Linked DNA regions of Ovis aries. The protein of the gene in region 1 purifies or fractionates together with the protein of each later gene. This does not show direct contact. Links are inferred from orthologs where the notes say so. Each region holds a gene or a part of one and is shown in the gene's direction. Other genes may lie near its edges.

The links.
Region 2: the proteins of FYN (region 1) and PDGFRB purify together in Homo sapiens (pull-down; 3 studies listed by IntAct, with this or other methods). This does not show direct contact. The link is inferred for Ovis aries from reciprocal best matches to the Homo sapiens genes FYN and PDGFRB.
Region 3: the proteins of FYN (region 1) and SKAP1 purify together in Homo sapiens (affinity purification with western blotting; 3 studies listed by BioGRID and IntAct, with this or other methods). This does not show direct contact. The link is inferred for Ovis aries from reciprocal best matches to the Homo sapiens genes FYN and SKAP1.

Annotation. Positions count from the first base shown.
Region 1 is NC_056061.1:25,875,453-25,885,462, forward strand, and holds the start of FYN (tyrosine-protein kinase Fyn), read left to right. Parts: upstream 1-5,295; 5' UTR 5,296-5,747; intron 5,748-10,010. UniProt on the Homo sapiens protein: Non-receptor tyrosine-protein kinase that plays a role in many biological processes including regulation of cell growth and survival, cell adhesion, integrin-mediated signaling, cytoskeletal remodeling, cell motility, immune response and axon guidance.
Region 2 is NC_056058.1:59,268,573-59,278,390, reverse strand, and holds the start of PDGFRB (platelet-derived growth factor receptor beta), read left to right. Parts: upstream 1-4,507; 5' UTR 4,508-4,876; intron 4,877-7,726; 5' UTR 7,727-7,806; coding exon 7,807-7,809; intron 7,810-9,818. UniProt on the Homo sapiens protein: Tyrosine-protein kinase that acts as a cell-surface receptor for homodimeric PDGFB and PDGFD and for heterodimers formed by PDGFA and PDGFB, and plays an essential role in the regulation of embryonic development, cell proliferation, survival, differentiation, chemotaxis and migration.
Region 3 is NC_056064.1:37,786,990-37,797,118, forward strand, and holds the start of SKAP1 (src kinase-associated phosphoprotein 1), read left to right. Parts: upstream 1-3,684; 5' UTR 3,685-3,779; coding exon 3,780-3,828; intron 3,829-10,129. UniProt on the Homo sapiens protein: Positively regulates T-cell receptor signaling by enhancing the MAP kinase pathway. Required for optimal conjugation between T-cells and antigen-presenting cells by promoting the clustering of integrin ITGAL on the surface of T-cells.

The DNA of each region.
Region 1 (10,010 bases):
AACGATGTAGTTCTTTCCATTAGAACTTGATGCCATGAGATGTCAGAAGAAGGGTTTCACAATAAACCAGGTGTTCAGAGGTTAGCCTTGGGGCATTTCCCAGGGGTCTCCTGCTTTCAAAGTTGCTTTTGGAGAATCATTCTTACAAGTCCCAAGAGGTCCATCAGAATCTAGAAGGGTACTTGTGAGTGGATGAGAGCAGGAGGCTTCCAACCCTCCTAGCCCTGGTGGGAGGCCTCTCCTAGATATCACCTCTCTGGCAAGAATTCTCCAAATGGGAGGGAAAAAAGCAGAGAAGAGGAGGAAGAGAAAAGGGAAAATTATAGTAGCAAAGAAAGAAAAAACGTTAAGTTTTATTTTACTGTTTCTTTGGTTATGCAAAAAGTTCAGAAAATCAGAAAAGATCAAAAATAAAGATAAACTGTAATTGATAACTTGGAGAAAAATCACTGTTAACATTTTAATGTATGTTCTTACATACTTTTCTATGAAAATGTATCTATAGAGATAAATTTTAAAATAATGGAATAAATATACATACCTACATGTACACATAGCCATACGAATTTGCTGTTCACTTTTTTCTCTTAACACTTTATTGTGGAAATCTTTTCACATAAATAAATGGCATCATTATCATTTTCATGGCTATGCAGTGTTCTATCATAGTGTAGTTTGTATACCAAATCCCATCATTATAGACAATGTTCCAATTACTTACAACATAGGTGTATCTTTGCAAACTCATTCCATTCTTTCCAGAAGGAGAATTTCTGTATCAAAAGTATATACTTCTTAAAAAAATTTTTTATTAGAGGATAATTGCTTTACAATATCGGGCTGGCTTCTGCCGTACATCAATGTGAATCAGCCTCAGGTACACATATATCCCCTCCCTCTTGATCCCCCTCCCATTTCCCACCCCATCCCACCCCTGTAGGTTGTCACAGAGCACTGGGCGGAGCTCCCTGTGTCACACCGGCTGTCTGTTTTACATATCGTAATGTATATGTTTCCATACTGCTTTCTCAATTTGTTCCACCCTCTCCTTCCCCAAAGGGCTTTTCATAAATGTTACTAAGTTGTCCTCTAGAAGAGATATAATACCCTCTAGAAGTGATATAATGCTGCATCTTCTCTGGCAGTGTGGGTATCCACTTCCCTACATCCTTTATGTCTTTGGCCAACTAGGTCGTTGATTACAAGCAGCGTTATATCTCTTTTCATGTTTATTGATCCCTGATAGTACTGATACCCTGATAGTTGGTAAAGAATCTGCCTGCAATGCAGGAGACCTTGGTTCAATTCCTGGGTCAGGAAGATCTGCTGGGGAAGGGGTAGGCTACCCACTCCAGTATTCTTGGGCTTCCCTTGTGGCTCAGCTGGAAAACAATCCACCTGCAATTCGGGAGACCTGGGTTCGATCCCTGGGGTGGGAAGATCCCCTGGAGAAGAGAAAGGCTATCCACTCCCAGTATTCTGGCCTAGAGAATTCCATGGACTGTATAGTCCATGGGGTTGCAAAGAGTTGGACAGGACTGAGACACTTTCACTTTCACCTTGTGGATGCACTTACTTTTCATGTGTTTTCAATCGAATTATTCATTTTTGCTTCCTATGGATGTGTCAGCATTCTATATTAAGGATTCTTACCCTTGCTGTATATGTGGCTGTTGAGTTAACATTTAAGAGATTAAAACTGAAATGTAATTATCAAGCAAGAAAATATTTCAATTAAATAAAATTTAAGAGAAGGAAAATGTTACTTTAAAAACAAGAGAATAAGAAATTCAGTTGAGACAAAACAAAGCCCAGATAGGAAGAGGAAAATTGAAAGAAATAGAAAGAGAAAAATAACCAGTACCCGTCAAATCAAAGAGAATTTCTAGAACAATGTCTACATTCTAGTTTGTATATATTAAGCTGTCAGTAAGAAAACAGAATGGGGGCTTAGAGGACAAGATGGCTTATCTCAGGAAGGCTAGGGGCAGGGCCATGGATCTTTAATCAAGGTGTGTGTTGAGACCTGCACAGTAGATCAAAATGGGGAATAGCATCCAAATCTTTCCCAGTACTCTATACACTTGTTCAGACCATTAGCTAATCCTCCTAGGAGGCCAAATCCATTTAAACCCACATTTAAGAAGGGCAACAGATAGAAAGGTAGGCAAGGAAAGAATTACAAAAACAGGATGAAGTCTTGATGGGAGCAGGTTAATCTGTCATCTTAATTGCATTGTCTCTTCATTTTGTTCCCTAATTAGATCAAGGAGCTATTAGAGTTACAGACGCTAAAAAAGCGACTCCTCTTGAAGAAACCATAAACAATGAGATGCCTCACTCCACCTACTCCAGATTTCATGTAAGATAAATTGAACCTCACATGGAATTCCAAGGAGGGCTCTATCTCAAGAGCGGTTTTTCTGAGAGTACATGACATTATCTTCAAAAAGGAAGACGGTACCCTTTCATGTCCATTTAGTCTTCAAACAAGTAGCGTGCTTCAGATCAGTCTTCCTCTGTCTCCATTTTACATATAAGAACACTAAGGGCCAGAAAAGGCAAGTGATTTGTCCCATCAAGGTGCTGTCAACAGTGTGCAGTGTGGAGCTGGAATCAGAAATAATCTAGTCTAGTGCTGTCCAGTAGAAATGTAATGTGAGCCACATACGCTATTTAAAATTCTCTAGTAGACACATTAAAAAGTTAAAAGAAATAAGTGAAATTAACTTTAATAGTATATTTAGCACAATATATTCAGACTATTATCATCTTCACATGTGAATAATATAAAAATCATTTAGATGTTTTATATTTTTTATGCTAAATCTTTAAAATCCAATGAGTCTTTTCTTTCACAGGACATTTAAATTTGCACTAGTCACATATCAAAAACTCAAGTACATTTCAAGTGTGTAAGAGCCAGGTGTGGCTTTTGGTTACCACATTGGACAGCCTGATTCTAGATCAGTGGTTTTCAAGGCCTGGTACCCAGACCAGGAGCGTCAGCATCAGCTGGGAACTGTTAGAAATGCAAATTCTTGGGCTCCATTCCAAGTCTACCGAATCAGACCCTCTGGGGGTGGAGGTCACCAATCAGTATTTTAACAAATCCCTTCTGGTAATTTTGATGCATGCTAAGGTTTAGAATCATTTGTTGCTGTTGTTCAGTTGCTAAGTTGTGTCTGACTCTGCGACCCCATGGACTGCAGCACACCAGTCTCCTCTGTCCTCCACTATCTCCCAGAGTTTGTTCAAATTCATGTCCATAGAGTTGGCGATGCTATCTAACCATCTCACTCTCTGCCACTCCTGCTCCTTCTGCCTTCAATCTTTCCCAGCATCAGAGTCTTTTCCAATAAGTCGACTCTGTATCAGGTGGCCAAAACATTGGCGCTTCAGCTTCAGCATCATTGCTCTAGACAATTGCCTCTCCATTCCAATCCATAGAAAACTAGGAGAGCCATGGCAGGCTAGTACTGAGAAAGAAGAGCCTCTTCTCTTGAGATAAACAATTCTTGGCTAGATGAAGTTTGCGTTCTCTTGTATGGAAATTTCTAGTCCTAGTTGGGGTTCCATTTCTTGGGATTATGAAATAAATAATCAACACATAATTTAAATATGATTTCATTCAGTATTTTAAGGAAGAAAGAAACCCAGTAATCACACTATACAATCACTTTAAATTTAGTTTTTAATTTCTCTTGTCCTCAGTTTCCTCATTTGTAAAATGGGGATTTGTTTAACAAATGTTAGCAACTTTAAAAAGTATTGTGTACCTACTGTATAGCATAGGGAACTCTGCTCAGTACTCTGTAATGACCTATATGGGAATAGAATCTAAAACAGTAGATATATGTATATGTATAACTGATTCACTTTGCTGTACAGCAGAAACTAAGACATTGTAAATTAACTATACTCCAATAAAAATAGATTAAAAACAAACAACCCCCTCCCCACCCAATATTGCACAGATTTCTCAGGGGGAAGTTTCCATATAAATACCTCTTAGTTTAATTTTTTTTTAAGTACTATGTATCCAAAAAAAGGCAGAAAAAGTGACTGGTATTTGAAAACTACAGTCAAAACTTAGTGGGCAGGAAAGGTAATATTATAGATTTTGAACATAGAAGCAGATGCCAATTCACTTATATTTCTCAGAGCGCTATATTTTGCTGAGGGGGTAGGGTAGGATTCTTGCCAAAATCATTAAGAAGAATGAATCTGAGCATGCCTTAGAGTAGAACTTTCAGTAAACAGGAATTACCTATAAAGAAAATCAGGAAGCTGAAGTGTTTGCTTTTTTTTTAATGAAGTTACATCCTGCCATAGAAATGCTGGATAGGAAATAAAGACTGATGCACTCCCAGTTGTATATTAAACCAGCTATTATTTCATCAAGGAAAATCTGAGCAAAAGCTCAGATTTAGAGAAGGAAAAAAACCACGGGAAGGCTGAATTCATGAGAAAACAAAGACAACCAATGGCTACAATTGAACATGCTTTTGGAAAAAGCTATACAAACAAACACCCACTCTGTGATTGCAGATTCCATAGTAGTCGCTTGCCCTCTCCACCCCTTACTCGTATTTCCCTAATACTTCCTGCAGACTTTGCTTATATATATATACATATATCAGAAGACTATCAGTTCATTCTAATTTATTCCGTTTTATCCCCTTCCTTTTCTTCCTCCCCCTCCTTATAATTACTGATAATATTAACCGCGCGTTTCCAGGTTTCTCTTTTTTCCAGGTTTCTGTGATGGGATTCTCCCTTGCTCCGCACTCTTCGGTTTGATCAGAGAAAACAATTTAATCATCCTAACAGTTTCCCAATTTATCCTCCCACCTTCAAATTAAAAGACAACAGAAAGGAAAGATAGCCCTTTCTCAAGGCAGGTTCCCATGGTTTTGAGGGAATGGCAGATGCCTTTCTGCAGTAGCGGCTGCAACCTTCTCCAAAGCAGAAACTGAAGCTCACACTCTCCTCTTCTTTCCTTACCCTAACCCACTACCTCAAGTCCACGTAAACCTTAAAAAACACACACGCACAACTCCTCCAATCTAGTATCCCCTCTCACACCCTTACACCACAAGCACGCCAGGATGCCCAATGCCACCGGAACGCTCTGCCCACTCGGTGGCCCCACCCATCGCCGCCCCGCCCCCGCTTCAACCACCAATGGTCGCCGCCCGCTGCTCCCGAGGGGCTCGTTGATTGGACAGTGGAGCCTGCCACTCTCGCGGGGCCTCCCGCCCTCCCTCACTCCCCGCTGGGGCTGGAGGGGCTGGAGCATCAGCGCGAGTAGCTCGGAGCAGCCGCGGCAGCGGCGGCGCGTCGTTGCAGTTGCGCCATCTGTCAGGAGCGGAGCCGGCGGGGAGGGGGCTGCCGCGGGAGAGGAGGAGGGGTCGCCGCGAGCCGAAGGCCGCCGAGACCCGCCCGCCAACCGGCCGAGGGAGCAGAAGAGAGGCTGCCCTCGGAGCCGCGCGTCCATCACCGCCCGGGCGCGCGGCGCTTCACCCCGCGCACCGAGGGCTCCCCAGGCGCACACAAAGCCGCCGCCCGCGCCTGGGAGGGATCCAGTCGCCGGGCCGGGGACACCCGGCGCCGCCCCCTGGGCACTCTCAGAAGGCCCACCGGCTCCCGGGCCCGCCGAGCAACCACCGGAGCCGCTTCGGCCGCGCCGGAGGAGGCGGGGAGTGGACCATGTGAATGGGCTCCGGAGCCTGAGCGCAGCGCAGGTAAGCGGCCGGGGATGCGCCGCGGGGCCGCGGGGATGCTGCGGAGATGCGGGCCGCGGGCGCCGAGCGCAGCGCCGCCCCCGCCGCGGGGCCCGGCGCTGCAGTCTCTTGGCCATCGTTGCCTCTGGGGCTCCCCGCGGGGCTGCCAGGGAGTTGGCCTTGCTTGGAGTCTTGCTGTGGTCGCTCCGGAGGACACCTCTGCGGGCTGCAGCCCCGAGGTAGCGCAGGGCTGGGGGGTCCATTTCCTCAGGGTGTGAATAGGGATTGGCTTGGGGGGTGGCTAGGCCGGCCCAGACTCCGCCTCCGCCCTCTTTTCGGGGCCCCCCGCGGGGACCCGGGCTGTGTGTGTTGTTTTAATGTCAGGGATGATGTAATCACTTAATAATTGATGCCCCGTGCTGCTTCCCTCCCCACCCCACTCCACCCCTGCCCCACTCCTCCACCTCTCGGCCTCCTCCTCCTGTGGCCGTCGCCTTTCCCATCGCATCCTCCAGCTTATTTCTGGCACCTCCCTTGCACTTCCCCCATCCTCCCCTCGACTCTTCCTGTGCCACCACCCACCCTTCCCCAGTCCCCCGTGCTGGAGCCTTAGCTCCTCTTCCTCTGACCCCTCCAACCCTCCTGCTCCCTCAGGCTCCTTTCTCCTTCCTTCTCAGCTCTCTGGATTTCCTCTCTACTTCCCTAGATCGATGACTGTTTTTGTTTGGTCGCCTCCCCTCTCTTATCTCTGCGGCCACAGGCGGAGGGGACTGAGCCAGAAAGAGGCCACCAGGCTTGGGCCTCGGCGGAGATTTGCTGGGACTGAGTGAGAAGAGGGATAATAAAATCACCCTTCTCGCCCCTCCTCCCACCAATAAATCACACAGACTCGCGGGGTGTGTGTGTGTATGTGTGTGTGTGACACAAAGAGCCCTTTCAGTGCACAGAGAGGAGACGCATAAAGTGCCCAAGGGTGGGCGCGATGCTTCTTGTTTCTCTTCCCTGGGGCTTCCCTTTTGCTCAGATAAAGCAGTTGATCTTCTCTCTGAGAGTCTTTCCTGCCACATTTACCAAAAAATAAAAGGCCCCAGATGCAGGGTGGCAGGTGCTGCCGTTTTGCTGTATTCATGGACCGGTAGTGTTGACTGGCGGCTGCAGTACTTCTTAGATTGAAGGGGGAATTGATTTCAGCTGTCTGAAGAGTTGCTTTACTCTCAGGGTAGCACCCTCCCTTGCCCAGTTTTAACTCCCTTTCATGGTAGGGGGTAGGATACATGGGTGTGGGAGAGGGAGAATTTTGTTTCCAAAAGAGAGTTATATTGATGTTTGCTAGGAGTGAGGCAGCCTAACTTGCTTCTCTCAAGTCTAAGGAGGACTGAAGTCATTTGAAATGAAGTCTTGTCCACCCAGTGATGGTTGTTTCACCCTTGTATTTAAAGAAGCTCCTGGGGACATTGCTAACACAGCAGTAAGTCGGTATTTGGAAGACTACTGGGGACTGTGTCTCTCTTGCCTGCTTCAGGGTACCCTTCAGACAGCCACTTCCTTCCTCTCACCGCCAAGCCACTGCCGTACTTTCCACCCTTTGTGCTCTTTCTCCCAAGTCCCTGCCCCTCTGCCCCTCGGGTCCTGTGCTTTCAGACAAGGGACTGATTTTTGGAGGAAGTGGTTTTGTTAATTGTCTCAGGTGTTGGAGGCACTTAGCTATGAGCGAAGAAGGTAGAGAATCTTTTGCCTGATCTCTTAAACCATCTGCTTGATGTTCCTCTTAAAAAGGAAATGTAAATGTAAATCTGGGGGCTTAATGTTCCATTCTGTAAGCCAGTGACTGTTACATGCTTAATCAATAATGTCAAAACTTAGGTCGAACCCATTGATTCCTAAGAGCATGGCTCTTTGACTGTTATAAGTAATAGAACTGTCTCAAGTTCTTCAAGAATTTTATTAGAGAAGAATTGTTATGGTTCATTAAACATTTACTCCTGCACTTTCTAAGGACATTCATCTTGGAACATTTTATATTTTAAAAAAAGCAAAAGGGTTAATGAGGGTAGTGTTCAAAACAAAAAAACAAAGCCTTGTTTGTTTGGCCAAACCCAGGAAAGAAAGTGCACAATAAGCTCACCCTCTGTTGACCGAGTTCAAGAGAGTGGTGAGGTTGAATGTGAACAAATGCATATTCTGCTTTCTGTACTTTTATTCTCTGCTTTCTCCTGGGTCTGAAATCTCCTAACCCCATCTGATTTGCTTGGGTTCTGTTAAACCTAAGGCCCAGCTCAAAAGTCTTCTACTCTGGGATGCTTTCTCCTCCTTTCCCCTTCAAGCAAATCACCATGCCTCCAATTTTGCTTTCACACTTCAGCAGCTGGCATTATGGTTGGCACGTGTCTGTTTCCATCATTAGTTGATCAACACATTGAAAGAAGGAACCTGGTCTTGTTTCAACAAATGTGTTAGGTCTTTGGTATGTGCTAAGCACCTGGCTTAATTAGGCTAATATTAGCAGCTATAACAAATAGGCCTGCAAAAATATAATGACTCAAAAGTAATAGATGTTTATTATTCCTCATGTAATAGTTCAAAATGGGTATTTCTGATCAGTGGGTGACTTTCCTCCATGCAGTGATTCTGGGCTCCAAATTCCACCATGCCTTGGCGCTCCATTGTAATTTGCTTTCAGCTGGCAGAAGCACAAAGAGAGAGTAGAGGGGATGAACCCACTTTTTAATTACCCTGGCCTGGAAATGACACACATCACTTCTGCTTACATCCTTTACTTGAGGGATAGTTAAATGGCCACATTAAACTGCAAGGGATCCTGGGAAATAGTCATCATATGACTAGAAAAAAAGTCAAGAAGATATGTGTTTGGGGCCAGCAACTTGGCTATATGCCACAACTCAGGTGGTACGAGTGGAAAAGAATCTGCCTGCCATTGCAGAAGACACAAGAGATTGAACCTGGGTTCAGACCCTGGAGGGAAGATCCCCTGGAGAAGGAAATGGCAACCCACTTGCCAGGAAAATTCCTTGAACAGAGAAGCCTGGTGGGCTATAGTCCATGGGTCGCAAAAAGTCAGAGCGCACACACACCCAACCTTGCTATGTGGTGCTGCTCAACAAGGCATAGTCGTTGCCTTCAAGGACTTTGTAGGTTGATGAGAATTAAATGGAAACCTAGAGCCTTTACCCATTATTGCCTTCATTCTTTTGCTATTGCCAGACTTTTGATTTTATAAGTTCAGACCTTCACATTTTAAACATGTTTCCAAAAACCTTGGTTTTTTGTTGATTCTAGTAGCCACTTCCCACCCAGTTATTCCCTGTAATACAGTGATCTGATGGCTGTGGTACTGACTTTGATGTGGCTCTCCAGTACTACCTTTGTTGGCCTGGATTGTTATCTGCTTATTTTATAGACTTCCCGAATGGCCAGGAGAGTCTTTAGAAATCACAGTCCTACCTTCTCTAATTGGAAGAGGAAATGAAAGAGACTCTAGAGGAGAGATTTTTTGCCCCAGGCCATGTTCGTGGGAAGAGAGCCTCACCTGCCCAGCTCTTCAGTCCTGACAGGGTCCCCTCCAGCCTGCAGATGTCTTGAGTGGGTGGGTGACTGTGAGCCCTGCATGTTCCGTGGGATTAAGTGAGTTCCCAGAGCCAGGTGAATCACTAGTGTTTTGGATAGCCCCTGTTCTCCACCGGCCTCCCCAGGAGCAATTCTGTCCGTACTAGTCATCAGACTTAGTAATGCACATACTTTTGCTATGTTGTGGTATGTCACTAAATCATGCCCGACTCTTTGGGACCCCACAGACCAGCCCGCCAGGCTCCTCTCTCCATGGAATTTCCCAAGCAAGAATACGGGAGTGGGTTGCCATTTCCTTCTCCAGTTTTTGTGGTTTTTTTCGCCCTGTGTGTATGCTATAAAAAGTTCATTATGTTCATCAGTTCTGTAAACGTTAGCCCAATATCTTATTGTGTGCAAGGCACTGGAAGATAGGATTGTGAAAATGAATACTTCTGCTGTCCTTGCTGTTTGGGAGCTTAGTCTGCTAGAGGAGATAAAAATAATACATAATAGCTAGTTTTATTGAGCATTTACTATATGCCAACCACTGTTTAAGCTCTAATCTTAAGAATGGTAAGAACAGCTGAAACTAATATAATATTGTAAATCAACTATTGCTGCTGTTGTTTAGTCGCTAAGTCATGTCCAACTGTCTTGCAACCCCCTGGACTGTAGCCTGCCAGGCTCCTCTGTCCATGAGATTTTCCAGGCAAGAAT
Region 2 (9,818 bases), on another chromosome or scaffold:
TCTATATCCAGCCTATTATTCTCTGTTTCTTTCATCACTTTTTTTTTTTTGGTGAGGCATGTGAGATCCTTGACATTAGTTCCTTGATCAGGGGTCAAACCTGTGCCCCCTGCAGTGGAAGCATGGAGTCTTAACAACTGGACTGCCAGGGAAGTCCTTGTCATAATTTTTATATTATTAATTTGTGGTTTCCTTAGTGTTTGTTTATGAGCTCTATGAAGGTAGGGCTCAGAGTAGGTGTTCCGCTAACTTGAACCGCATGAGAGAAACAGCCCGCTAGGCAGAGGTCCCATTCCAGACCTGCTGTGAGCCCTTAAGAGGGTTCTGGCCTTCTACGTGGCCCCTGTGGACCCTGTTGCCTGATGATCTGTGAGCCATCTGTGTACCAGAAGGACACACCCTTGTTTCCAGGGGCCCTAAGACCAAGGCCAACTGGAGGCTGGGGTGAGGCTGAGATGGGCAAGGTCTTGAAGCCCTTATCTCCGGGAACCCTGTCAAGCCTTGGTAGTGACAGCCTGGCCCAGCAAGAGCAGTTCTAGGAATCTAGGGTGGGAGTGTGGCCTGAAGTCCCCACTGGCCCCTCTGCCCCACCAGATAGCCACTATGCTGAGTGTCCAGGAAGGGGAGGGGCAGTGTCCTCTGTGTGCCTCTTTTGGTTCCCTCGCCTTTAGGTACAAGGACCTACCTGTTCAGGGTGTGCAGGAGGGAAAGATAATGCACTGGGAGTCAGGAGTCCTGCCTTCCTGGCCCCTTCTGTCTCTGCTGACCTCGGGCAAGTCCCCTCCACTCTCTGGGGCTCAGTTTCTGTGCCTGTCTGATGGAGGCACTCTTAGGGCTCTTCAAGCCCTGATGTCCAAGATGAGTGTGCCAATGTGTGGGACATGCATGCTGCGTCCTGACCCCAGGCCTGGGGAGCCTGGAGGAGGGGCAGTGCTGGGAGCGTGGGAGAGCCAGATGTGGTGGCTGCTGGCGCTGCCTGAGTGAGTGCTGAACTGGCCTACTGGGAATTCTCCCACTCAGGCGCCCTTTCTGGCCCCCCTCCTTCACCCTACGGAGAGCTGCTTCAGCTTCCGGCTCTAAGGGGCGTGGGTGGGGGCTGAGGAGGGGGGTCACTTCAGCCTGATTCCCTCCTTTAGAGAAGAACATGGTCCTGAGAGTCTAGACCAGAACCTGGGTGCCTGTCCTGGACTCACATCATAGTCACGCTCCATCCCTGGGCCTCAGACATCCTGGGTGTCAAATTGGCGGTTGCACAGGCTTCCCTCCAACCCTGGTGGTGGCAGCTCCCGGTGACACCAGAGAATCAGGCATCTTTTGTGGAGCTTTCTCACTCTGTCCTAGTCCTTGAACAAAATGCCTTTGGTGCATCACTTACTCAGGCCTCTCAACAACCCCATTTTACAGCTCAAAACACTGAAGCTCTTTGAGCTCAGTTCATGTAATTTGTCCACAGTCACACAGCTAGGAAGTGGCAGAGTTGGATTGGAACTACCCATATCAGAGCCTTGGTTCTTAATCCTTGAGCATGACACTGTGCAGTGGGAAGGGGACGCACCAAACCCCAAGGCCTGCAGCTCCTCTTTCCCCTGCACCCTCTACCTCAGGCGGGGCTCCCCGCACCCCTGCTCTGCCCTCTCAGCCTCACCCTAGCCTCTGCCAAGACAGGATGGTCAGAGGACGGACCCTAGCATCTGGACAGGTGGGAGACGGCTTGTGGCTCGTCCTGTCCACAGTGGGGCTGGGGGCCATGCTGACCACCCCAGTGTGACGGCACTGCTCTGCCCACTGCTCACCCCTTCAGAGTACATAGGGGAAACTGAGGCCCAGGAAGTAGAGGGCTCAGCCGAGGGGTACATAGTGGTGGGCTGCAGCTGGAATGAGGGAAAAACACTATTTCAAGAACAATTCAGACAGTGTACTAAGCCCTTGAGGCACATTATAAATGATAACAGTCTTTTGAGTCATTCCTTGAATTATCTCTAATTTTTCAGAGGAGGAAACTGAGGCTCAGGAGTTTAAATGACTTTCCCAAGATCCTGTAGCTTCAAACTGCTAAAGCTGGGATTTGAAGCAAGCTCTGTCCATCTCTGAAACCTGCCCTGTCAATCATGACCCTTCTTCCTCAGCTGTCCAGCCCTCGGTGAGTGCCCTGTGGGGTTCCATGTGATTCTGCATCCCCCAACCCCATCTCAGCTGTGAGGAGGCGTAACAGCCCTGGTGCCTGCCAAGGGTTAATGGTGGTAGGGGCTAAGTGATTCCAGATGGGCTGGCCGGAAACCGGCGGCCGCCAGCTTCCCAGGGGAGCCACCAGCAGCCGCCCCCTCCCCTCTGTGCTGCATCTCTGGCCCCCAGCTGTCCCCTTGCCCTGGGGCCCACCCGCCTCCTCTCCCTAGCTAGAGTCCAGATCTAAGAGACTTGTAGACAGAGCATCCCAAGGGCCCTCCAGCGCAGTGTGCCCATGCTTGCTATGAACAGATGGGGAAACCGAGGCTCAGAGTGGACGAGGTATCTATCCAAGGCCACACAAGACGTGCATAGTTGGGTCTCAGGACTCCCAGACTGTCTGGTTTGGGTATTGGGATTTGAAATGCCTCCTTGTTCTCCCCCACCAGCCCCACTGACCTGGTCCTAGCAGCTGGACCAAGGCTTCAGAGGTGAATGGCCAAGGCAGACGCTAGGAGGGGAGTTGTAAAGACTGATGAAATCTAGACAGGAAGGCCTGACTCTGTGGTCTTTGGAGTCCCCGGACTTGCCCTATGACCCCCTTGCCACTGAGCTGCACCAAGCCCCCTCCGTTGGGAGACTCTCATAGCTCCCACCCCATCATGTGGACCTAGTCTGAAAAACCCTTCTCCCTCTGTGGTCTAACCCAATGTTCTCCTGGGCAGTCCCTACTGGGACAAGACCAAGAAATGAGCACAAGATTGGTGACCGTGGTTGGCGTGAAATCCCAACCTCCTTCCCCCATGAACAGACACATGGGGTGAGGTGCTGGAGGAAAAGGTTGTAGACAGAGGGCAGGATGGAAGGAGCTCTGGGCAGACTCCGTAGGGCTCCACCTGGGACACCTCTCTTTCCCTCTCTGGGACTCGGTTTCCCCCGTGTTACAGTAGTAGGAGTAGGGCGACACAACCCGATTCTCGTTAAAAATGATGCCCTTGGTCAGGAATCTGTGATTAGAGACTTGTTCTGATCTGAGGAAATGAGGGTTGAAGAAATGAAAGGATGGGACTTCCCTGGAAGTCCAATGGTTAAGACTCTATGCTTCTACTGCAGAGCAGCGGGTTCAGTCCCTGGTCGGGAAATTTCTGCATGCTATGGGATGCATGCAAGGGAAAAAAAAAAAAAAAAGGAGAGGGTGAGAGGTCCAGGGGCTTCCAGAGAAGCCTTGGCAGACCTTGGGGCAGAGGTTGGAAATGGAACACAACAGTACTGGAAGGTAAATGAGAGTTGGGTTAGGGATAACAAGGAAGAGGGTAGGACCGGAGGGCCAGTCAACACTGCAGTGTGGGTCTTCCACTGGGGTCAGAGCACCTGAATCTGTCTGGTGTGTACAGATCTGACCCTGCCCTAGCTCTGCTGTAGCTGTGTGAGCTTGTGAAGCTCATCTGACTCCTCTGGGCTTCAGCTCCTTGTCTACACAATAAGGAAATAATTCTTTCCTGGTCCTCTGGGGATTTTGAGATGATAGAGGAAGATGTCTGGAAATCTGAAGTTTGCTGGGTGATCTTGGGCATGTCTCTTTCCCTTTCTGTGCTAATTCACCCCTGGACCTTGATTTCTTCTTATGAGAGATTGATAACCTCAGAAGGGCTTTTTCTCTCTTCTAAGTCACCTTTTCTCAGAAGCCCTTCCTGATTCCTTCAAGCCTCAGGGAGTGCCCCCCTCTTCGGGCACTGTATCTCCCACTAGCTGGGTACCCTGAGGTTGGAGACTGTAATTTACCACTGCAACCCCAACACCTGGCACAGTGTCTGGCACATAGTAGGTGCTCAGCAAGCTTGTTTAATGAATGAGTGTCGACTGAGTCACCGGGTGGGTTATCAGAGCTCCATCTGCAGATGGGAAAGCTGAGGCCCAGAGAGGGGACCCACCCCCAGGTGCCACAGCCAGGGGAGGCTACCCGAGACAGGCATCAGGCTAGTGGGCCAGGCCACTCTTTAATAAAAGTGACTCAGCGGCTGGCTGGCGTGGGCTGTGGAATTTCTAAACATCCCCTCACATCCTGAGTGAGCAGGCTACGGGAGGGAGCAAGCAGAGGGAAACGAGGAAGAAAAACAAGAAACTTGGGGGAAAAGAAAGAGGGAGGGGGAAACTAAAATTGAAAACAGACACACGCGCGTCCGCCCTCCCCGCCCCCAGCCCCCCTTCCCCCAGCTGGGCCAATCAGAGGCTGCTCTGCAGCCTTTCCCCCAAAGCAGAGGGGGTGGGGGCAGGGAAGCCCACAGTGGGGTGAGCTCCTGGGGCCGCCAGCAGCCCGCAGTCCCTGCCCGCCCTGTCTGGAGCCAGAAGGAAGGAGGGACTGGGAGGAGAGAGCCGGGCCCCTCTGACCAGCGCCACCAGGCAGCAGCCTGCGCTGAGCGACCCGGGCAGCCAGACCCAGGGCGGCCCCTCCTGGCAGCCCTTCTCCTCCACAAGGATGCTTTGGGAGTGAGGCCACTCCTCACCCCGTAGTCCTTCACTCCCTCCATTCTCCTGAGGCTCTGCAAGCCTACAACGCTCCTCACTGTCCTCCCGCTCTGCCACTGCCCCACTTCAGGTTCAGCAGAGTCCTTCTGATGACAAGGGAGAGGAGGCAGTGAGGAGGTCTTCCTGGAGGGGGTGACAGCCCAGAGCCCAGGACTTTGCCCACACTTCAGAAGGCATCAGCAGCAAGGTAAGCGCTGGGAAGAGGAGGGAACTCCAGCGTCTTGTCCTGTCCCCTTGTCCCAGACTGCGCCTTCTTGGGTAGGTCAAAAAATGGAAAATATTTTTAACAAAACCAGATGGGAAGAGGCAACGAGACTGTGGGTGACATCTGGGCTGGAGGAACCAGCTCTCTCCTGCTCAGGCTGCTTTTGGGGTGGGTGCCCCTTGCCCTCATCAAACAAATCCCAGGGGTTTCTGGCAGTGAGGGGGGAGGGGGGCTTCCAAAGCAAAGCGCTGCCTGTAGGGGGCCGCGAGGAGAGCTGGAAGGAGTATGAGAGGGGAATTGGGAGATGGATCCGGAGATGTATCCATGTATCCGGCCGGATACATAGAAAGAGAGCCTAGCAGGGGACTAGGGACCTCAGACACACAGCGTCTGTCCCTGGGCCCAAGCCTTGTCCCTAAGAATCTGCCTGGCTTTACGCCAGTCGGCCGCCAGGCAACCTCTCGGGATTTAAATGGATTTGCAAATTTTCCGGATTCCTAAGATGTCCTTCCAAACCCCCAGCGGCTGGGAAAGTGCGAAGGCGAGGGGGCAGAGGCAGGCCCATCCTCACACAGGCTGGGCTGGGGGTCTGGGATTCAGCAGTCAGATCTGGGGGCCCTGCTGTGAAGAAGAGGGTTGGCTGTTGGGCCCTGTCCTCTGGTCACAGGCAGCTTCTCAGGCCTTCTCATCTTCCTCTTTCTCCGCACCATCCTAAAACATGCATCTGATCACCGTTCCTTCCGTCAGTCTCCCCAGTAGAAGGTACCTATGGAAAGCCCAAACTCCTAACAGCGGCTGCCACTCATCAACACATTGCATGATGCTAGGACCATTTGGCAGAGAAGGCAATGGCACCCCACTCCAGCACTCTTGTCTGGAAAATCCCATGGACGGAGAAGCCTGGAAGGCTGCAGTCCATGGGGTTGCTGAGGTCGGACACGACTGAGCGACTTCACTTTCACTTTTCACTTTCATGCATTGGAGAAGGAAATGGCAACCCATTCCAGTGTTCTTGCCTGGAGAATCCCAGGGACGGGGGAGCCTGGTGGGCTGCCGTCTATGGGGTCGCAGAGTCGGACGCGACTGAAGTGACTTAGCAGCAGCAGCAGCAGCAGGACCATTCGGAGTGTTTTCTATGCTTGATTTCATGTGCGTTCACCATCAAATCCAAAGGAAAGGACTGATTTTATACCATATTTATGGGTGAGGAAACAGAGGGTCAAGACAGCCACACAGCTGGTAGGTGGCAGAGCTCAGGAGATAGTAAGTTCCCTGCCCATCACATCAGACTTGGGCTTTGTGTTCCTGCCAGTCAGAGCCCAGTCTTCACAGAGGAATTTTCATGCTCCTGCCGGTAGGCATGGCCTTCCTCCCTACCTTGCCTTTTCCTTTAAGGACCCTCCTATTCTACCTCCTCCAGGCAACCTTCCTTGGTTCCTCCGGTCTTCCAAGAGCTTGCCATGCCCATCATCCTGGGGCCTTGTTGCTTGATCCTCTTTTTGTGTTCTGTTTACATAACAGAGATTGTTTGGGTCCCAGGCTTCTCCATCCTGTGTTCTGACCCCAGGTCCCCTGGGAAGACAGTGGGACTGAGCAAATGTGGTTGTGAAGGGGAGGAGGGACCTACTGAAGACCTGTGTTCCCAAGGGTGAGCCCAGAACCCAGGCCTCTTATCTTCCTTCCTTTCTTCCTTATCACCCTCTGGGTGCCTTTCCAGAACCTTACATGGTCCTCCCGACATTTTTCTATGTCAAGGGGGGAGTGTTCCTGCCTCTGTGATCCCAAAGTACACAGAAGCCTCTAGTGAGGTCTTCTGAAGTCAGGTATCTTCCCTTGCCTCCAAGCAGCAGGGCCTTGAATCCACAGCACTTGGGAACATGCAGACTATGTTGGTCACCATCCTGGAGTGCTAACTCTGTGCTGGAACCTCTCAGGCCTTATAATCCCTGTTGTAGGCCTTTAGAATCAGTATTATGATTACCCCTGTTTTGAAGACAAGGAAAACAAAGCTCAGAGAAGCTAAGTGACTTTCCCAGGGTCACACAGTTGGTAGAGTTGGTATGTAGGCTGAGGTCTGCCTGAAACCAAAGACTTAACCTCCTTGCTCCCAGGGAGGCTCTGGTCAGGGGAGAGAGTCTCCATTTTCCCACAGAGCCTGCTCCTGGGTCTAGCATCTTCTCCAGCAGAAAGTTTAGCTCCTGGGTCCACCCGGCCCTGACTTGGTCCTGAGTGAGGAGGGAGACCATCTGGTGAGCCCTCTCCCTTCAGTGGTGATCAGGCTGCCCTCCCTCCTCTGTGGGAAGAAGAGCTGAGACTTCTAATTGCCCACAGATGTGGGGCAGTGGAAAGCACCGTGGATTCAGAGTCAGGAGACCCAGCGCTTGTCCTGGCTCCACTCAAATCCTCTGTGTGGCCAACCTCAGGCCCCCACGTCCTCTTTTTTGCTGCGTCTGCATCTGGAAGGCAGTGGGCATGGTGGGTAAACAACACCAGTTTCCGGCATCTGATGACGCCCCCTTGGCTCTAGCTAACAGTGTGACCCTGGGCCAATGCTCTGCCTCTCCGGGCAACAGGCCCCTCCTCTATGAGCAGTAGGGTGGGACAGAGGATCTACAAGATAATAACATAGATAAGGCACTTAGCATGGTTCCTGCATTTTGTGCGGCTGGACCTAACGCCTAAGAGAGCAAAGAGAGCTCCTCTGCTCTCCCCGCCTCCTGTACAGGACGACATGGTTGTGACGTTGGTCTGCACATCGTGAAGGGCTGTAGCCATGGAAGGGAAGGGACCTGGGCGCCATGGCTGTGCTGAAGGCTCACTTTCATCCTCCAGGCGCACCCTGGCTCCGAGACCAGCTGCCTTCTGGGCTGAAGGAGAGAATTCTGGACGTTTTGCTCATGTTGGGCTACTGAATGGTGAGAGGGAGAAAGAAATGAGAGGGCCCCAGGTGCTGCTGAAACACCCCCATGCCCTATTTCTGGCAGATGGTTCAGAAGCCACAGCCAGTGGACCCTTGGAAGGGGGAGATCTTCCCCCCTATTTTCCACATCTCCTCCGCCCCCACCTGCCCATTGGCCATGTCTTCCCAGCATCAGAGCTTGAAACACCTCAACTGGGAAGCCATGTGTGAGAGAGGACAGAACTGGGAGCAGCCTTCTCTAAGCACTTTCACTGTGCTTTTTACATCCATTACCATCACGGTCATGGTTATATTCCTCAGCACTTAGAACAGGCCCGGCCTTCAGTGACTGCTTAATAAATATTTGCGGAACTAATTTAATCATCGCAAACTACCTCAAGGAGTGGACATAAACTCTCCATTTTATAGAAAAAGAAATGCCCAGAGAGGTTAAGAGGTTAAGTCAGTTGCTCTAAGTCCCACAGCTAGGATATGATGGAGTTGGGACTTAAACCTGGTGTTTTTGACTCCAGAGTCCATGACTGAGAGACTGGGTGGGGCCTGGGCTTCAGCTGTGGGGGCCCCTCAGAGCTCTAAAGGTGGTCATCAGACCCTGGAACCCATCCTGTATGACTGTGGGTGAGTCAGTCCCTCTCTGGGCCTCAGTTTTCCCATCAGTAAAATAAGGATTTTTGAACGAGATGATCTCTGAGTTCCTTCCAGCCGTAAAACAATTCCAGGATTCCAAGCCGCGCCAGCCCAGATTGGCAGCCACACAAGCCCTGTTGTGTACTCAGGGATCATACATATTTAACTTCACAATGAAAGGGTTTTTTCTTACCCCTTTTCTGCACGTTATAGAAAGCGGTCAGGATCGATGACCACTAATGGAAAATGGTGCCCTATGATCAAGAGGAAGAACTTTCTGACAATCAGAGCCACCTGGAAATGCACTCTGTTTCTTGGGGGGGCTCTGAGTGTGTGTTTCCCCAGCAGCCACAGGCCCATTTTTCTTGGATACTGAGGAGGGAGGGTCAGGAGGACTGCCTGTGAAGGGGTGTGTGTGGATGCTGTGACCCTTTGCTGATTTTTGAACTTCATGTGCTCTGATTTCAAAGCAAGGCTTTGGCCTATGGTAGATGGACAAATGGTGGGGTCCAGAGGCAAGGGAATGGATGCAGAGACCCACCTCTAATGGGAGGAGTGTGGAATTCACACACTGTTGCTCCCAGTGTAGAAGCCAAATCTAAGCCCCTCCCAAGACTTCAGGCCCAGAACCCTCAGGCCAAAGAGCTTCCTGAACCCCCAGGCCATGGCCCCAGGACCCCTCTTCCTAACCCCAGCCAAGTGCAGGAGGTTGAAAATCAAAGTGCATCATTTTAGCTGCGTTAGCACCCTCTCTTCTCCTCACTTCAGATCAGAGCTCTTTAATGTCTCAAGTGCACAAAACCTTTCATCTGCCAGAGGTACCAGCTTCTCTGCCCTGTGATGGAAATGGTTGTCACTTGGGAGGTGGGGGCAGCAGGGCCAGGGGGTCAGACAGTTCCTGAAGGTCAGAGATGAAAAGGACTATGGGGATCACTGTGCTCAACTTCCTTATTGTATGCAGGGGACACTGAGGTCCAGAGAAGAGGAGACTGTGCCTCAGCCATAGCACTGAGCCCAGGACCCAGCCTGCTGGCCTGGACTTTCCTCTGTGCCAGGGCACGTGTTGGATCTTCTCCACCTGTCTCTGTGGCCCAGGGCTCAGGCTCCAGCTCCCACTAGGTTGAGGTCACAGGGCAGAGTTTGGGCTAGAATGGAGCAACACCACCCCAGTGAGGGATGCGAGCCCCTCTGGGTAGTGCTGTGGACCATGGAGCCTTTGATTATATCACTTCTCCATCCTGGCCATAATTTCCTTTTGTGTAAAACGAGGGGGCAAGGGCACAGTTCAGTGACCCCAAAGGTCGTATCCAGCCCCATCCTTAGCCCCTGAGAGCTCCTGCCAGGCTCTGTGTGGCTGTGTCACATTTCACTGCTGTC
Region 3 (10,129 bases), on another chromosome or scaffold:
GATACGATATGAGAACCTGTTTATTTTGTTGTATTAGTGCAAAGAATCTGGAAGTGTGAGCGGGGAGACCATCGAAGTGCATCATGTGCATAGCAGGACGCTCCTAAATCGAAAGGTTAGCTAATTGGTAAAAATAAGGCTTCTGGCAAGCTGTGAAAACCCTGTATCTTAAGGCCACCAAGCAAAGTGCCCAAGCAAGCATCTGTGTCCAGCTCCTCTGCCTCAAGGGTGCCGTGAGGCTTGGTTTCCAGGGTCTTGCCAAGCATGCCGTGAGCCTGGTTCTTGGCACCAGCTGGATGCATCATCTCTCTTTCCACGGTCCTTAATGAAGTGTGTAGCTCTTGTCCTCATTAGGCCCCAGCATCGTCAATAAAAGAGTCAATAAACCCGGTTGATGGGGTTGGGACCGAGGGGCTGAGATGCAGCGGCCGCACATTCACAGGGCAGACGTCAGCTCGGCCGCATGTCGTGACCCAGCATCCAGGGATCAATAACCAACTCGGAATAAAGCCCAAGAGCTGCCCTCTGCAGTCTCCTCTCCCTACCCATTTCACCTGGGGCTGAGCAGTGCCAGTCAGCTCTTGCTTTGCTTGCAGTTGTTTCCGCCCCATGCCATTCTAGGTGCCAGATGCTTTTGTTTCTTCCTGACTGAACCCTCCGAACACCCCATGGATGCATATTTAGTGAGTGCCCACCTGGCACGAGAACATGTAGATGGCATCTCCAAGCAGCCGAGAGGCCAGCATGGGCCCTGTTTTCCATGTCTTCTGTCTGCTAACAGTGAGAGAGGGGCCCCTGTGGACCAGGTGGTAGACTTTCTGCGTGTTGTGCTATGGAGTCCATTTCAGCTGCTCTGCATCTCTTCAGATACCCTTATCTTATCTAATTACAAGGAATTTCAGATGAATTTCATGGCCTTTGCTCCAAAGAACCTCTTATCTGTGAGGGCCTTGTATTTTAACCTTGTCATTCTTTTGTTGTTAGCCATTACAGGAGAGATAGCTAAGAAAGGGATGCTAGGATCTTGCTGGAATTGGGTTTGGGGGAGGGGAAGAAGAGGGAGGCAGACAGACCTGGGACTTGTGTATTCTGCTCCATCCCCCTGCCTGTGTGTGGAGACAGCTGGCTGCTTACTTCCATGACAGCCACATGGTACCCAGCCACACAAACAGGACCCGGGCAGCGACTCGTCTGCTGCCAACCTCTCCAGATCCCTTTGATATTTCCGACAGAGCAGTAAAAGACTCTTGACTATCACATTTTGCCTTGCCTCTCTCCACCTCCTCGAAGACTCCTCAGTGTGGTTTCCATGGCTACCCCCAATCAGATTTGGCTTCCTGCAAAATTGGATTTCAAAGAAGGACAAGGCTTCAAAGGAATTTGTCCATTTAACAGAATGTCATTAGGAGTGAGGCTGACTGTTGAACCAGGGTCCTCAGATGATTAAGGAGGGGCTGCGTTCATGTGTGGAGGCGGGTTTCTGTCTGCAATGAGGAACCTTGATGCAACATGACAATGGTGTATTGGAATCTGCCACTCACTGCACGCTACCCAACTGTGCACCTCCCTCTACTCCATCTCTCTGCACCCAGAATGGATGTAGAATATCTTTGCCTTGAGTTTCTGCTGCTTCCCTTGGTATAAGTAAGCTATGACAGGCAGTGAGTCCTGATAGGATGTGCAATTACTAGGGTTTATTGCTTTTTATCAAACAACCCTTTAACTTGTAGCCTATTTCAGCATTTGACAAATACCCTTGAAGAAGGGAGGGAGGTTGTCAAATTTCCTCCCACTGTTGAGAGGAAAGCAAGGCAAAGTGCTGGGGTTACATATAGGAGGGACTGTGCTGTTTTTTTAATCTTTTAGATTTAAGAAAAATTGCAACTGTAGTACACAGAGCTCCGTTGCCTTTTAACACATAAGTACTCAAAAATGATTCCAGAGCAGCTACAATTTTATAGAAGGAGCAGTGAGTGTGGGAAAAATGCCCCAGTGGGGAACTGGTCTTACTCTGGAGCCTGAAGGAGGCAGCCTGCCCATGTTAACTTTCCCAGGGCAAAGATGCCTTGTAACAGGGGCCAGATTCCCCAGAGATTCTAGCCAGCCTCTGTCCCCTATACTTTCACCCCAATTACTGGAACTGGTAGGTGAGTCATGTGACCCTGAAACCAAGGCATCGTTCCTCTTCAGGTTGCAGTACTTAGATGTATAGATGGCTCAAAGACACTGGACCCCTTAAAGGATCAAGCCCCCAAACTTGAAACTGTATCTCTGGAGGGGAAGCTATGCCTGGAGGCAGGAACTGCTTCCAAGAGTCCTCTGAACAGTTTCTCCTTGCCCCCATCTCCACATCCACGGTTCTGTCATTATTTCCCCTGAGGTTACTGTAAAAGGCACTTCACCCATCTTCTCTGTTTCCTTTCTCTTACTACTCCCAATCCTTTCCACATATTCTAGTGTACATAGAATCTGATAATAGAAACTATTTTTTACAAAGAAGGAAACTGATAGAGGTGAAGTGAGATGTGCAGGGGCTCAGGTTAGCTCACTCCCCATCTCAAAATTTGTCTGTGGCTCCCAATGTCCACTCAAATGAGTTCAGAATCCTTACCCTTTCAAGTTCCCTCACAGTAGAACTTTACTTTTTCTTGACAACTATTTCCCTACACCAGCCAGAAACTGCCCTGAAGCAGGAGAAGTCTTTTCCATCTTTGTTTACTCTGGTCCTTCCACCTGCGCCCTTGCCCCTTCAAAGTGTGGTGTCTTCAGAGCCATCTCAAATGCCACATGCACCATTACACCGCACACACATTTTCCCTCCTTTTCTTATATTCATCTCCCTCCTTGTATCACCCCATGGCACTTTATACTTTTTTCATGACACTTGCCCTATACTTAAAACAACAACAACAACAACAACTTAAGATAACTGTGGATTCACAGAAGTTGTGATGAATAATCCAGAGTGGTCCTGTTTCCCCAGGTAAAATTGTGCAATATCACAGGATATCACAGCTAGGACACCTGACACCTACATACTCTGAATGAGAAGGAAGCCCACTTCTGTTATCTTGTCCTTCACTTTCCTCCCTTTTAAACTCTTACAGGGAAAGGGCTGGATGCTCCTCTCCTTTAGCTTTCTCTCTGGGTTACCGCTTCTTTTTCCTCTCATCCTTTTAGCCTTAGGGAAGGAAGGGATACTTTGCCTCCGTGTTTCCATTGCAGAGGGTCTGCTTTGAGTCTCCCTGAAGTTGGTGACTTGAGATTATTTATTGGGACTTATGATCATTCCCTCGAACAGTCCTGGTTTGCCTGACCCACGGTTCTGCCCTGGTTTTCCGGGCTTGGACTCGCGAACTGAGTCGGGAATGACTGCGGCCCGGCTTGGCGGGGACTGACCCTGTCCTCGGATTCCACCTCCTCGCGCCTCATCTCGGCCCCACGGTGGCTTCTCCACCTGCCGGCGAGGCCCGCGGTCCCGAGCTTAGAATGGGGAGCGCCCGGAGGCGAGGTGCCTGGAGTCGCGTCGCGTCTTTGTTCTGACAGGGAATGGGGGCCGCGGGGCGGGCACCTCCTCCCTGGGGCGCGGGCGTAGGGGCGCGGGCCCCGCGCACAGGTGTCGCCGCCGCCCAGGCGCCCCGCCCGCCGCGCGCCGCTTCCTGAGCGCGCCCCGCCCTGCGGCTCGGCCCCGCGGCGCCGGCGACTGAGGGCCAGGTGCCGCCGCAGCCGCCCGCCCGCCCGCCAGTCCGCCCGCCCGGCCCTCTCCCGCCGCCCGCCACATGCAGGCCGCCGCCGCCCTCCCCGAGGAGATCCGTTGGCTCCTGGAAGGTAACGCCCCGCTGGCCCGGGCGCCGCCGAGCCCGCCGGGAGTCGCACGTGCCGAGCCGGCAGCAGCCGAGACGCCAGCGGCTCCCAAGGCCGGCCTTCCCCGTCGGCTCCCTCCCGCCTTCTAGAACCTCGAGGCTGCTGCCGGAGTCCTGACTCTGCAGAGCCAGCTGTTCACCCCTCGCTCAGGGGTCCCGTTCACTCCTAGTAACACATTTTCTTTTCCCTCAAGGCGTCTCCACCTCCCACTTAGCCTCCCGGCTTCTCAGCAAGTTCTGGCCGGGTTCAAGGTCCCCGGGCCGCCGCGGCTGGCCTTCAGCCTGTCCCTTTCTCTTCAGGACGCCCTGCGTCTGTGGGTTACGCGCTGGCCCCTCTCCAGCCCTGACTGTGTCCCTTCACAGGGAACCCTGACCTTCGTGCTTAGAGCTCCCCACGGTCTCACGGGGCTGTTAGGGCTCAGGGGCTCCTGTCGGCCAAGGCCTGGACACCCAGACCTCAGGCCCCCTTCACCCGCCCACAGACTCCCTCTTGCCCCGGGTCGGATCCCAGTGTTACATCTCTTCCCTTTCTAGAAGTGCCCCATTGCGGTGTGTTCACCCTCAAACCGTAGAGCCCATCAGTCCTTGTAAGAGTTAAGGCCATACTCACTAACACTCAACACATCCCGCTGTAACACTCCAGAGACACTTTTTGCTAATGGGCAAGATCTGCTTGCCTCCCACTTTTCCTGGTGAAAAAGTATTAATAATTTGCTTTTCCTGTAACCGACCTTCCTGGAAGGATGGGGACCTGGAATCTGTGTTTGCATAAGGGTCCCAGGAGGAAACCGCTCAGAATTAAGCCTTTTGGTATAGAGGTGACATTTTTGACACATACTTAACAGATGGCCTGTTTTCGGCAGGTCATAGTTTTGGCAAGCAGTATGTTTTTTTCTCTTCAGTTTCTCTCAATTTAATTGGTTTTATATCTCCATTACCATGTTATCTTGGTATAAATGCCTCCTAATCAAATATTTGGCAAGTCTTTTCAGTCTGTTTGTAGCGCTGTTTCCATTCTGGGTTGCTTCCATAAAAGCTGTCAACTACGTGTTTCTTATGAAATGAAGTTTCCAAAATTTATTTTGCTTGCAACCTGAGTGAATCTAAATTTTCAGAATAGAGAAGTATTTGTGGGGTAAAAGAGCATCATCTGGATGTCTAGAAGGAACCCAGCCTTTCCGTCTGCTGTTGGCTCAGTAATTCCAAATATAAAGAGAGTCTGTACTGTGTCTGGTTTCCAGGAGAGAAGGAACCGTGGCAAAAAGTTTCATTCTGCTTGCAGTTAAAGATATAAACAGATTCTTTTTATTGATATCTGTCATTTGTTGAGAGGAAACCTGTTTTACAAACTAGTTAAACTATACTTAGATTTTGTTTACAGCCTTGATAGAAAATTCCTTTTTATTTTCAGAGGCTTACAATGACATCCACTCCTTCAGCATTTTTGATGTGCAGTTCTTTATTGTTCAAAACTGACACTTTGGTAAACAACTCATTTCTGCACCTGCCACCTTCCTTTAGTTTAGATTATTTTCTTGTTAGCTGACTGTTTTTAATTGAAGTCTTCAGATCTCCTCCTAAAGCAGAACCTTTGTTTGCTGACAAGTAGAGCAGAGTATGAATGGAGATTAATTGCATGTCACATACTTCTGTATCAAACTTGCTGTGTCTTAACAATCTGTGTTGGTGCTCGGGTCTTTGGAATATATAGAACAATCCAAGATTAAATTCTAAGAAGCTATGTTGGTTAATGTATTACTTTAAGGCTCCCCCTTTTTTTTTTAAAGTATGTAATTAGAGTCTGAATCTGAAGTAGAGAAAAAAAATGTGAAAGTGGAATTCAACCAATAATTCTATTGAAAAATGTTTGAAGAATATACTTTTGAAAGGTTTGTGTAATCATAGCAACATATTGGTTGTAGGTTTTGTTTTTTATGGAACACATTCTCTGTTGTAGACCAACAGAATTATTCACTGGACTACAAATAGTTTGTAAATATTAGAAGCCCATAATGGCTATCAATTTTTCATCTGTTGCTGTTTGTCTTCCCCCACCCACCCCCACACACACTTTTTAAGGTTAACTGCTGACAATTAGAAAATATGTAGGTCCTGATCTCTATATTGTCACTCAGTGGAGGGAGTCATAGGGTGAGAGTGCTGCTACTTCAATGCTGCCACAGGCTGTGGGGGTGGAGTTTCCACAATGAATTACTACTTTCATAAACCAAGCCATAAGCATTTGCACCGTGATTTAATGCTGGCCATCACAGCCATAACTTTAGCATTTATTTATTTATAACTACAAGAGCATAAATGACAGGGGCGTTTTTTGACATAATGTGTGTGCTTTGAAAAATAAGATATGCAAAGCATTATGAAAGGTTTATGCCAGATTTTGCATATTGAAGAAGGGAACAGAAACGCTGAAGGTCTAAAATTAATTTTAAGGATAAAATTTTAAACATTTGACCAAGAAACTCCACTCCTAGGAATCTATGTTAATGAAAGTAAAGAACATGAAGTATATATTTTTGTTTGTTTGTTTTAGTCGCTAAGTTGTGTTCAACTCTATGGACTGTATAGCTCATCAGACTCCAGAATACTGGAGTGGGTTGCCATTTCCTTCTCCCGGGGATCTTCCTGACTCAGGGATCAAACCTGCTTCTCCTGCATTGGCAGGTGGATTCTGAGTCACCTGGGAAGCCTGAAGTATATATATCAGGATGCATAGTAAGTGGCCATGAGTTGGGAGAAGTCAGGCGATGATATCTTGTGGAATCATCCATCTTATGGAATATTTTGTAACCGTTAAAAAGGGTGAGGTGGATCTTTATATATTGTCTTAGGAAGTGTTGACAACATATTTTTGAGACTAAAAAGCAATATAAATAGTATAAATAACATACCAGTATAAATAACATACCATTTTTGTTTGAAAACAACCCCACCAAAAAAAATACCCCATAATATTTGTGTAAGCCTAAGAAAGAGTAAGAAAGAATATACACCAAGCTCCCAAATTGGTTCTCTAGGGAGGGGAAAGAGAAGGTTGGGGAGAGAGAGGTTATTTTATTTCATACATCTTCATGTTGTTTGAACCGTGACAATGACCATGTATTACTTTTGTAATCAGGATAAAACAACCAGTAAGGCTATTTAAAAGGAAAAGGAACAAAGGACAAATAGAAGCTTGGAGAGGTCAGAGTTCCAAAGGACCATTAACCAGTATTGTGATTATGCTTTTTTGTTTTTAGTACTAGAGATATGCGGAAGGTGGGGATCCCCCCCATTTTTTTTTTTTTTTTTTAGTGCTTTCTTGGATTTTGGGCAAATATTAAATCAGTGAGAGATTTCTAGAGTAACTCAGGAACCATCTTCCTCAGATTCTGTCAGGCTCTCATATAGAAATAGTAACTAGTCCATTTCAGCAATTAAGTGCCTTATAGATAAGTAAAGTGAAGGACATTTACTGCCTTATTGAAAGAGGAAGAAATATTCAGGTCTATTTTCAAATAATCAGGCTTCAGGAGTAGAAGTTATCATTTTGTTTTTGTGCTATGATAACCACACTGGAAACAGAAACAATGGCGTGCTGACAGTTTGCATAGTCTTTGTTTCACAGATACAAACATAATCAGTTTCTTCCTTGTCTTTCTAGTATCTCTTTTGAAGTCAGCAGCACAAGAGGCAGCTGTAAAGGAAATAGAATAAATATTTCTTTAGTTCATAATTTGTTCTGTGTGATGGAATGGTGCTTACTGAGTTTAATAGGTAATAAGTATCTACAAGGTACCTAAATCCTGCTCAAACATGGATTAGAGCCAAAATAACATCCACAATTCAGCTGCATTTAGTAGCAATTGTTGCATTAATGCTGATTCTGACATGCCTATAGTTACTTGTTTTAAACTTCCTTGGAAAGAAGTCATTAATCATTTCATTCCAGGTTGTTCTCCAGTTTTGTACTGGTTGATGTAGCCAACCATAAAATCTTTTTCAATATGGTAAAATTCCAACTCTGTGGAACTCGCAGGAGTGAGTTGTGCTGGATAGCTGAAGATGTTCTCTTTAAGCATTATTTTTATTATAAACAGTTGTGATCAAATTTTTTCTCGGATTCTATAGAAACTTCTCACACTTCCTCAACCAGTCTGCATTCAAGACAACTTCTCTGAACACTTTAAGTCTGAATTGTTACAGTGTATATCAATTATCATACTGTATAGAGATATATTAAGTTATTTAGAGATTTTTTTGCCATAATTGCCACTGGACTGCTTTGTGAATGTGTCTGTTTTATATTTTAATTTTTTGTCATTGTTTCCTACAGTTAGACCAGGCCTATCACTTTGTACTGTTCTCAGTGTATCAGTATCCCCGATGCTCTAGAAACAGTAGATAATTAAGTTCATTGGAATTAAGATATGTGTAAAAGAAAATATAAAGGTCTCTCTTGATGAACATGGTACCCAAACTTTAGGTCTGCACGTTGCGACTTACACATTGGCTGCTCATAGTCTTTTTTGCTTAATTTTTTAATACTGGGTTGTCTTCTGGATAAATGGCGGTATTGTTTGGCTAAATTCTGAAATGTATGTGACCCTACTTCCATTTCTTTCTTTTTTTCTAACTAATTTTTTTTTTTTTGGCTGTGTGAGCCCTTCATTTGTGATGCTCAGGCTCTCTAGCTGTGGGGCACAGGCTTGGTTGTCCTGCTGCACATGGGATGCTAGTTCCCCAGCCACGGATTGAACCCACATCCCCTGTGTTGGAAGGCAGATTCTTAACCCCTGGACCACCAGAGAAGTCCCTTATTTCTTTTTCATGCTAAATTTTTTGGTTATAAAGGTAGTATTGCTCATGTAGAAGATTTAGAAAACAGTCACCCATAGTCAACAACTATTAAATTTCCATGCATATTTTTCAGTTTTTATTATTTGTACAGACTTTAAAAGTTGGGACATATTGTGTGTATAGTTTTGTATACTGATTTTTCCACTTACTGTTTTTCACTTGCTATGGTCACCTGAGTATCTTCTTAGATCACTCATGTTCTTTTTTTTTCCTTGTGAGTGATTTTAAAGTTATACATCCTGGTTTTATTCCACTGATAGTTTGACTCTTATAGCTTAAAAAAAAAAAAACAAAATAAACCATGTCCCTTTGATTAGCAATGTTAAGAATGAAACAGTATCTTCTACTCTCTCCTCCAATGTGAAATGTGAAATGGCTTATATAATCTGAGATTTTAGATTCAGAATTATTAATGTTTTTATTGTGTATATTAGGTTATAAGAATTATTTTGATATTTGCATAATATTTAAAACCATAGCTATAATGATTTTTTGGATAGTTTATATTTAATGAAATACAATGATACTTTTGCTTAACTTGTTCATTGCATACTTTTTGTACCATGACTTTTTCATTCTTGAGCTCTTTATCTCTTAGATATTTAGACTTTGCTAGAAGGGTAACCATGGCCATATGTAGCTATGTAAATTATCTGAAATTAAATAAAACCAAAGGAAATCCGTTCCTCAGTTATGTTAGCTACGTTTCAGCTACTCAGTAGCCACAGTGGCTGCTGTATCGGGTAGTGCAGAAAGCCCTAGTAGATGACGATTGAGACTGTGATGCCGAGTGGATTTTTCAGGAAGGGGACTTTGATAGTACACTTACTGAGTGCCTCTGAGTTTGAGTATGTGTCTGTCTAGTTTCATATAAACTTAGCTGTGGGGATAAGGTTCTAGGATCAATTCCTTTCCCTTCCTCTCAACTTAACCTCTCAAAGTTTTACCTGTATCTCCTGGTCTTCAGTTTTGTGGAGGAGAAGTCTGATGCCAAACTGATGTATTTATTTTATAACCCATCCCTCCCACTGCCTGCCGGCATGTTTATAGGATATTTTTCTTTGCTCTCAAAATGTCACTGGATAATTTCAAAGTTAGACTTTTGATTATTTTTGCCTGGTATGTAGTGAACCCTTTTGATCTATAGTGTTAAGGTCTTTAACATGAGAAAGTTTCTTCTATTGTCATTGCTTTTATTCTGTTATACTAAGGTTTATATTGTAAATATATTGAGCCCCAATTTATTCTCTGTGTTTCATCTTTTATTGTCTCATCTGTCACTGATTGTGGTTTTAAATTCAGCATTTATTTATTTAAAAAAAAATTTCCTTGTGTTCTCTCCACACCATTCATTGTTTTGTTTTCATTACATCTGTAAATCTGGCTTATAGACATAATGACATTTTGGA